2 linked regions of the Neurospora crassa OR74A genome follow. The protein of the gene in region 1 purifies or fractionates together with the protein of each later gene. This does not show direct contact. Links are inferred from orthologs where the notes say so. Each region holds a gene or a part of one and is shown in the gene's direction. Other genes may lie near its edges.

Region 1 (3,750 bases):
AGATTATCATCGCCAAACAACCTTTGTTACAAACTCTACAAGCCATCAGGTGTGCCCTCGTTACCGCTCTGCGATTTGAGGTTGCTTCCCGAGTACCTTGGTGTTGTTGGTCACAAGATGGCGGCGACGGCGGCAACATCCGAACTGAATGCATGACGGGCGAGACAGTCACCAACAAGGGCACAGTACCGAGATATCCCCAATCATACGGCTTTCCTGATTTCGGAGTCTCACAGCAAGAAGCCGGCCGAAGCCTCTCTTTGATACGGATCAGGCACACGCTTGACAGATGATGGACCATGGGGTGCGTCGCCAGCTTGCTTATGCTGCACTACCGTGTACCGCATCATGGCTTCTTTTTCGTTTCGCGCCGCGCCATGACAGCTAGACAAACTTTTTATAAGGTTGTGCACATCTTCGAGTATCGACAACAGCGAGCCGACGCGGGTAGATAGATGATCTTGTTTCCATGGCTTCCCCACGAACAGTGACTGTACGAAGTGGAGTGCTCACATTTGATATCGTGACCCTGCACAGGACAGTAACATATGTGCAAAGTGACGGGTCGAGCCGACCCGGGGGTCTGGGTTTATATATTTATACCTACCACTACGTAGGTTGCTCTGCAGCTGACCCAAGCCGAGACCGAGACGAGCCCAGTCCTGGATGCGCGGGGGAAGCAAGAAGCTTACCAGCACTTGACTGCTTACCCCGTGGACAAAGGTCGGCTTTCTCGGGAAAGGTGAGGTCAAGACAGTCATCGGGAGTCGTCATATCAAGCCCAGGTCCGGAAACGGACGGGAGGTCGAGGGCCGGAGTACTTCCGGACGCAAACAAAAGTGTACGACTTCCGATATGTGACTGGACCGAGCGGGAGTTCTGGAAGACATCCACTCCGGCTGTAGAGCTAAGTAGGCAGCCCAGGCCTCGGACCGTGATGGCGGAGTGATCACTTAGGTGGGCCAGACGTAGGCCCTATGTCTCCTGTGTTTTGCAGCGCAGCCTTTCTGCCGGCTATTCGTCATTGGGTCGCACTGGGCTTTATCCCGAAGAGTTAAGGCAGGCAGGCAACTTGCAACGCATCTCCGTCATCCGACTTGACTCCAAGTGCATTCAGCTGGTGAAATTTGCCAATAGGTGAGATGGTGGAATTCCAGCAACGACTTATAGAAGCCTACTGTTAGCATAGTGAATGGATGAGGTGGACTGGGCAGACGTGTGAGGAAATGAAAGGGAAAAGGGAAAAGAATCAAAAGTCAAGTTCGAGAATGCAAAAGCCCTTTCGACCGTGCACCACGGCCAAACATGGCAGGGCCACAGGGCAAAGCTCAGGGCAAAACGTGATGAAGCTCAAAGCAAAAGCACTCCTTCCTTCTTAACTGGAGAAACGAACTGGGGCGTGAGAGCAGACAGCCAATCAGGGGCCGCGGTGGGCCGCACTTGACTGGGGGCGAAGAGGTGCAATTGGGGAGGCGCATGGATGGCAGGGGTACGATGGGCGGACGTGGATCGCGCTAAAATTTGAGAAGGGAGGAACGTTGGGAAGTGCCGGCTTGTCTATAAATTTACTAACCAATATTCTTTATAGACAGGCCGCTGCCCTCCACCCGAACCTCCCACTGCCCGCCATCGCCCATCCGACGCCCTACTACTACAACCTGCGCCCTGCTGCCCTGCTGCCCGCACGTGCACGACCCGACCGACGTCTCTGTTACCTACTCCAACCAAGCACCAATCCGGGCGACACCGTGACTGAACAGAACAGGCACAAGCACAGCACCTGAGAGAGGCAGCGCACATTGCGAATTGCCTGCCTGCCTGCCTGCCTGCCCTTCAACGTCACCACCTTCCGATACTTGGCTACTTGCTTTTTTTGTATTTCAAGACGCCGAGACCGGGAGTTGACCGCCTGGTCCAGACCCCTCCATACATATTACTTCGATACTGCGTCCCCCGCCAAAATTCCACGGACCACACGGACCACACGGACCAGCTTAGGCGGCCGCTAGTAGTCACCGTTGCACCGTGTGTGTTCTTCCAGTTGTGTGGTGCGTGTGTGCGTGTGTGTGTGTTTGTCTAGCGCAAGGTACCGGCGACCTTGGTTGGCTTGCATACTAAAGAGACTTGCTTCCCTTTGGCTGAACGGGGACACCCACCACCACACCTTGCTCACCTTGAGCCATTCATTGGACGGTGAGTCTTGACCTTGATATTTCATTCTTTCCTCCCACATATCATCTCATCACCACGACCATCACCACCACCACCATCACCACCACAGTCATCTCTCTACCTTTGGCTTCTCGCAGCAGCAAGTGTTGTTATTGTTACTGGCCCCTTCAACACACTCGCTGTCTGGCTTGAGTCATGCCATCCAATTCCCTTCCTTCTTTGCACTTCTCACACTGCCCATCCTGTCATTCTGTTTGCTTCTTTGGCGATGACCATGGACCATCACACACAATGCGTCAACTGTGGGATCAGATCCAGCAATGTGGCGCAAATGGCTAAAACCTGATATTACCTAGATCTTCTGGTAGAAACTTCTTTTTCTTCTCTCAACCCCACCACCACAGCCGCCCACGTCGCATACAAGAGAGTGAACCTTGTGTGTGTATTTGGGACTACAGCTTTGCCATATCTGTGGATCTTCCCAAGGTATGTTCACATACCGTACACCTTACACCTCATCACATTTTTGCCTCACTCCTCCTGTAACATCACTTGAGTTCAGAACCAGTGTTCTGTAATCCTTATTACCACATGAGGCCTTGAGGTTCATTATCGAGTGGACTGCATCTGCCCTAACCCTCTCAAGTCACCTCTCGGGTCTTGGCAGGGGGTTCACCTCGTCAACATCTCTTGTTGTTTTGTTGTCGTTCTTGTTCCACTACCCCTGATTGTTCTCCTCCCCCTCACCCCTTGCCTCGTCTTTCAACTCTCCTTGCACACTTCAAGAAAACCTCCAAATCTGCTCCGCCATCCCAAGATTAGACAAAGCTGGAAGGGTATAATACTAACTATCTTGCAGTGCCATGGCCATTACCCCTTATTAATCACATTAACACAGTCTACTGACATGAACAAGAGATGGCGTCTCGGCTAGATCGCCTTGTCACGTAAGTACTCTGTACTTTCTGGAGATTTGTGTTTTTTTTCTTTCCTGGACACTTGACTAACAATTTCCACGTGTAGGCTTATCGAGACGGGCAGTACTCGCCTGATTCGGGATGCTGCCGTAGATCAGCTCGCCACATGGCAAAAGGAACACCCCGATGAGCTTTTCAATCTACTCTCTCGGGTTGTCCCCTACTTGCGCCACAAAGACTGGGAAACCAGATCAACTGCTGCCAAGGCTATAGGCAAAATCATCGAAAATGCACCGCAGTATGATCCCAATGCGGACGAGGAACCCGACGCGGCGATGAAAGATGAAGATAGCAATAGCTTCATCAAGAAAGAAGAGGGCCCCCCAAAGCTCTCTCTTAGTGAGGAGGAGCAGTTCAGTCTTATGACTCTGGACGTTATCAACATTCTCAAGTACGGAAGGTCCTTGCTCAGAATTGGCGACAAAAGCGATTGGGGCCTTGCAGCTCTCGATCCACAGAGTCGGCTGAACCATCAGAAAAGAACGCTCAACGGCCGTCTGGGTCTCCTTGGACGTGAGTTTAAGGATGAAGAAATACCCGTCATTAACGACGCCATCCTCAGCCCTGCGACCCCTCTCGATCCAGCTGCAGCTAATGGCTT
Region 2 (3,698 bases), on another chromosome or scaffold:
CTCGAAAGTAATCCATGTGGTACAAGACCGCAGGAAAACGGCATACCTGATTATGGTAACCATTGCTGGACACTGGGAGAAACTGTTAGCAAATTTGCTGACGAGATTGAAACTCCAGAACACACAAAAACACAGTAGTTCGTTTTCGATCAGTAGTGACGTTTGGCTTGTCGGTGTCTATCACCATAATTGTGTATGATAGGGGCGACACGAATAATCTCCTCATAGAAACACAAAACCACTGCGTTCTTGTGCTGGCGGGGAGAAGGGGAAGGTGTTCTTACCTATCATGAACATTGCTCGGTGTAACAATGAGCGGTCCAGTCAAGTGATCCAGCATGGAAACAGTGCAGTTGCCTGCGTGCCCCAAAGGAAGCGCATGGTGTCGCGACTGAAAGAAAGTAGAAGGGTGAGGGAAGGAAACGCTGAAGAAAACAGAAGTTAACGACGCGATGGATGGACCCCAAATTTTCTCGAACGGAACAACGATTTCGGCGGCAGAAATTTATGGTGGGGTCCCAGGTCACAAGTGGAAGGGAGGAAGGTACGGGTCCACCGAGCCTTCACTGTTGCGAGTGGGCCAGAGCCTGATGATGACAGTGACACTTGGCATTCCTTCACCAGTTGCGACCAGGTGACCAAACTATTGACCTCACAAAGCTGAGAGGCGGGGGGTGTGCGGTTCCAAACGCGCGCCAGACGACTCGGACGATTCAGTTTGATTCACTCACACAGACAAACCTGGAATGATTGAGGAACTGTGGCTGGTGCGCCTCTATGTACGACTCCGCCACAAACCCATGGTTGCCCCTGTGCGCGCAATGAACCAGGGCCAATCGCCCAGTTGCCGTTGGCGGCAGCTTCCAGGCCAGCCGCACTTGGGGTTTGGAGTGAAGGGAGCGGTGCCAATGTGTGTGTATAAAGGCAACCATCCTCACCGTGGCACCTCCGAGCTCAAAGGGAGCTTCGGCTCCCTTGACCATCATGCCACTCGACCTCATAAAGACTTCAAAACACTTTGATTACACCGGCCGCATATCTTGAGAGTTATCACTCGCCCAGGCAGTTGGGGGGTTTTGCATCATCAGCCACATACCTAGTCGATATCCGACCCCTCGAGGCATCAATATACACCATCCCACGACGACCCACGTAGGAGGCTCTTGTTTATCCACCAGCCAAAATGTCCGATCACGAATTTGGAGGTCCGTTGTCGCTCTGTATAACCTTTTGTTATGTTTCTGTTTTCGTTTTTGTCGGGGGGTGCAGGGGTTCCTCGATGACCATTGCCCATTTGCTTGCACCTAGGCACGGTTGAGTTGGCCCAATGATGAAGCCACTCAGCCTTACACTCAAGTTGAGTGGAGTGAATCTCCCTCATGAGTCCAAACCAACAACACTCCCTTTCATCCACTCCTTCTTCACTACCTATTGTTGAAATTCGAGTGAATAAGAAAAGGCATGCCACAATATACTGCAGGGAAAAGTGTTATGTATATGAACAACATGTTCTTGTACGACAGCCCTCTCAACCCCTTCCTCAACCGAGAAATGTGGCGATCATTCAGCCAAGATGGACGAATATTCCGGATACCGTTATGCATACGCTTCGGAGCCATGGATCGTCTCTGGCTCTGGAGTCTCACCACCTCCGAGTAGCTTGCTTTTTGATTCTTTCCTTTTCCTGGTTTATCATGTCTTTTTACTAACAAGGTTACTGTAGGCAATGATGATCTCTCACTCCCCAAGGGTACGTTAATTTTCAGTCAGGATACTGGGATGCCGTATCATCGAGAGATGTGGTGGTGGAGGATAACGCCAAGCAGTTGGGGGAACCAAAGGCTACTTTTCGGCTTGGTGAGCTGGTAGAGACGGTATCTTCTGGCTAAAGGAAGCCTATCCTCAAGCAAACGGAATATCGGATGGACCACCTTCACCAGGCAGAAAGAAGTCTTTACGTCTCGGGAGCTGCGCCAGTTGCTCAAGGTTGTGCAAGATTTCAAAGGGTAGGAGCTAACCTTCCACACAGCGACGGTTCAAAAGATTGTGAGCGAGATCCTCCCATCGTCGACTGGCCTGTCATTCGCCAAGGAAGCACGGGATCTTCTTATTGATCTCTGCGTTGAGTTCATCTCGCTCGTATCGTCCGAGGCGAATGAGATTTCCGAGAAGGAGTCGAAAAAGACGATTGCTTGTGATCACATCACGCAGGCGCTCGAGCGGCTCGGTTTTGCCGACTACGTCCCCGCCGTCCTAGAGGCAGCTGCGGAGCACAAGGAGGTCCAAAAGGTACTTAGAACGGTTATTATCTCCAGGTTCGGTTGTGTCTTTGTTTTCATTGGCGAAGCTAACACACATCAACACAACAGGGACGAGAGAAGAAAGCAAACAAGTTCGAGCAGTCCGGCCTATCACTTGAAGAGCTCGAGCGAATCCAACGGGAGCAGTTTGCCGACGCCGCGGCGCGACATACTTAAGAGGGGGGCAAAGTCGCGGCGTTGCCGACGCTTGTGCGTCTACCAGTGCCCGAGCAACAGCCGAAATAGCGGATGGGGTCGCCTCGGAAGCAGTAGAGGCAGAAAAAGAAGAAGAAGGTGATGCATCAAGCCGATGCAGAGCAACAGCCGAAAAGTGGGAAGGGGCGGCCTCGGGAAGCAGCAGCAGCAGCAACCTCAAGCCGATACAGAACAGCTCATCTCATAGCGGAACCAGAAAGGAGAGGCCCGGCTACAAACGGTTGAGAAGGCGAAGCCGGTTGGGAATGAGGACCACCAAGATCTGAGCGAGAGGAAGGAGGACAACAAAGAAAAAGGGAACAGTGACTGGGCTAGCTACATTTCTTGGCTAGTACGACCGGTGGAATTGCATATCAATGAGCAAGAGGTGGTCACCATCAGTCGGAATGAGCAACCCAAGGTCTCGGCGGAACTCCTTCCGGACAGATAGTAAAGGTCCGGGTTTGCCTAACGAAGCTGAGGCGTGGGGAACAGCGATAGTTGAAATCTGGAAGCAAGTCGGTTGGTACTGAACAGTTGGAGGAAGAAGCGAAAGTAGAGAGAGAGAGAGAGAGCCTTGCATTTACGTGGTTTTAAGTTTGTGTTTGTTGAAGATCGGGGTTGGGAATTTAGTTGGTACGCGTTGTATTGGGTTGGAGGGCTCTTGGAGAAAGAGAAAACCCGATCAGGGGGTTCTGGATTATTCTTACTTGGATGTGCGCCTTACACATGGATAGGTGTGGTCAAACTTTGGGGTGTTCTCGGCGTCAAGTTGTCGGCATAACCTCCTTGTTTTCGTAGGAATATTCAGCGAGGGTTATGGTTAATTGGTTGCGAGCGGGACATGTATGGTGATCATATATGCTTGAGCATTATGAAGCTACCATATTTGGATTTGAAGAAGATGAGTCCGAGTCTGCATCCTCATCGCAACTGGGTGTCAACCATGACCAGCTTACCGAGCCTTTCCGGCTCCCAAATACCACCATTAGGACAAATTGAGGTTGAGAAACAAGAATAGACTTTCAAGCTGTAAGGGGTGCGCGTGCAGTATTTTACTTTTCATCTCATGATTAACCAAAACGGCCCACGAGAACCGTTCATTGGAATCTAGGCGTATCTACAAGTGTCGTGGTGTGGCTTGGCTGGCTTTTTGGAGAAAAGCCATCCCATTCATGCTGCTTCCGCAGCAATCTTCTCCAT

The links. Proteins that work in one complex are often made in the same cells at the same time.
Region 2: the proteins of crf8-1 (region 1) and ada-2 purify together in Saccharomyces cerevisiae (affinity purification with western blotting; 3 studies listed by BioGRID, with this or other methods). This does not show direct contact. The link is inferred for Neurospora crassa OR74A from reciprocal best matches to the Saccharomyces cerevisiae genes MOT1 and NCB2.

The regions. Positions count from the first base shown.
Region 1 is NC_026503.1:4,377,097-4,380,846, reverse strand, and holds the start of crf8-1 (TBP associated factor), read left to right. Parts: upstream 1-1,606; 5' UTR 1,607-2,193; intron 2,194-2,451; exon of another isoform or gene 2,452-2,528; 5' UTR 2,529-2,658; intron 2,659-3,031; 5' UTR 3,032-3,090; coding exon 3,091-3,119; intron 3,120-3,195; coding exon 3,196-3,750. Other genes in the region: NCU07555 (hypothetical protein), read right to left, coding at 1-21, 235-347. UniProt on the Saccharomyces cerevisiae protein: Regulates transcription in association with TATA binding protein (TBP). Removes TBP from the TATA box via its C-terminal ATPase activity. Both transcription activation and repression require its ATPase activity.
Region 2 is NC_026501.1:1,662,129-1,665,826, forward strand, and holds ada-2 (CBF/NF-Y family transcription factor), read left to right. Parts: upstream 1-873; 5' UTR 874-1,183; coding exon 1,184-1,205; intron 1,206-1,723; coding exon 1,724-1,750; intron 1,751-2,029; coding exon 2,030-2,289; intron 2,290-2,369; coding exon 2,370-2,477; 3' UTR 2,478-3,544; downstream 3,545-3,698. UniProt on the Saccharomyces cerevisiae protein: Component of the NC2 complex which represses RNA polymerase II transcription through binding to SPT15/TBP and thereby inhibiting the assembly of the preinitiation complex.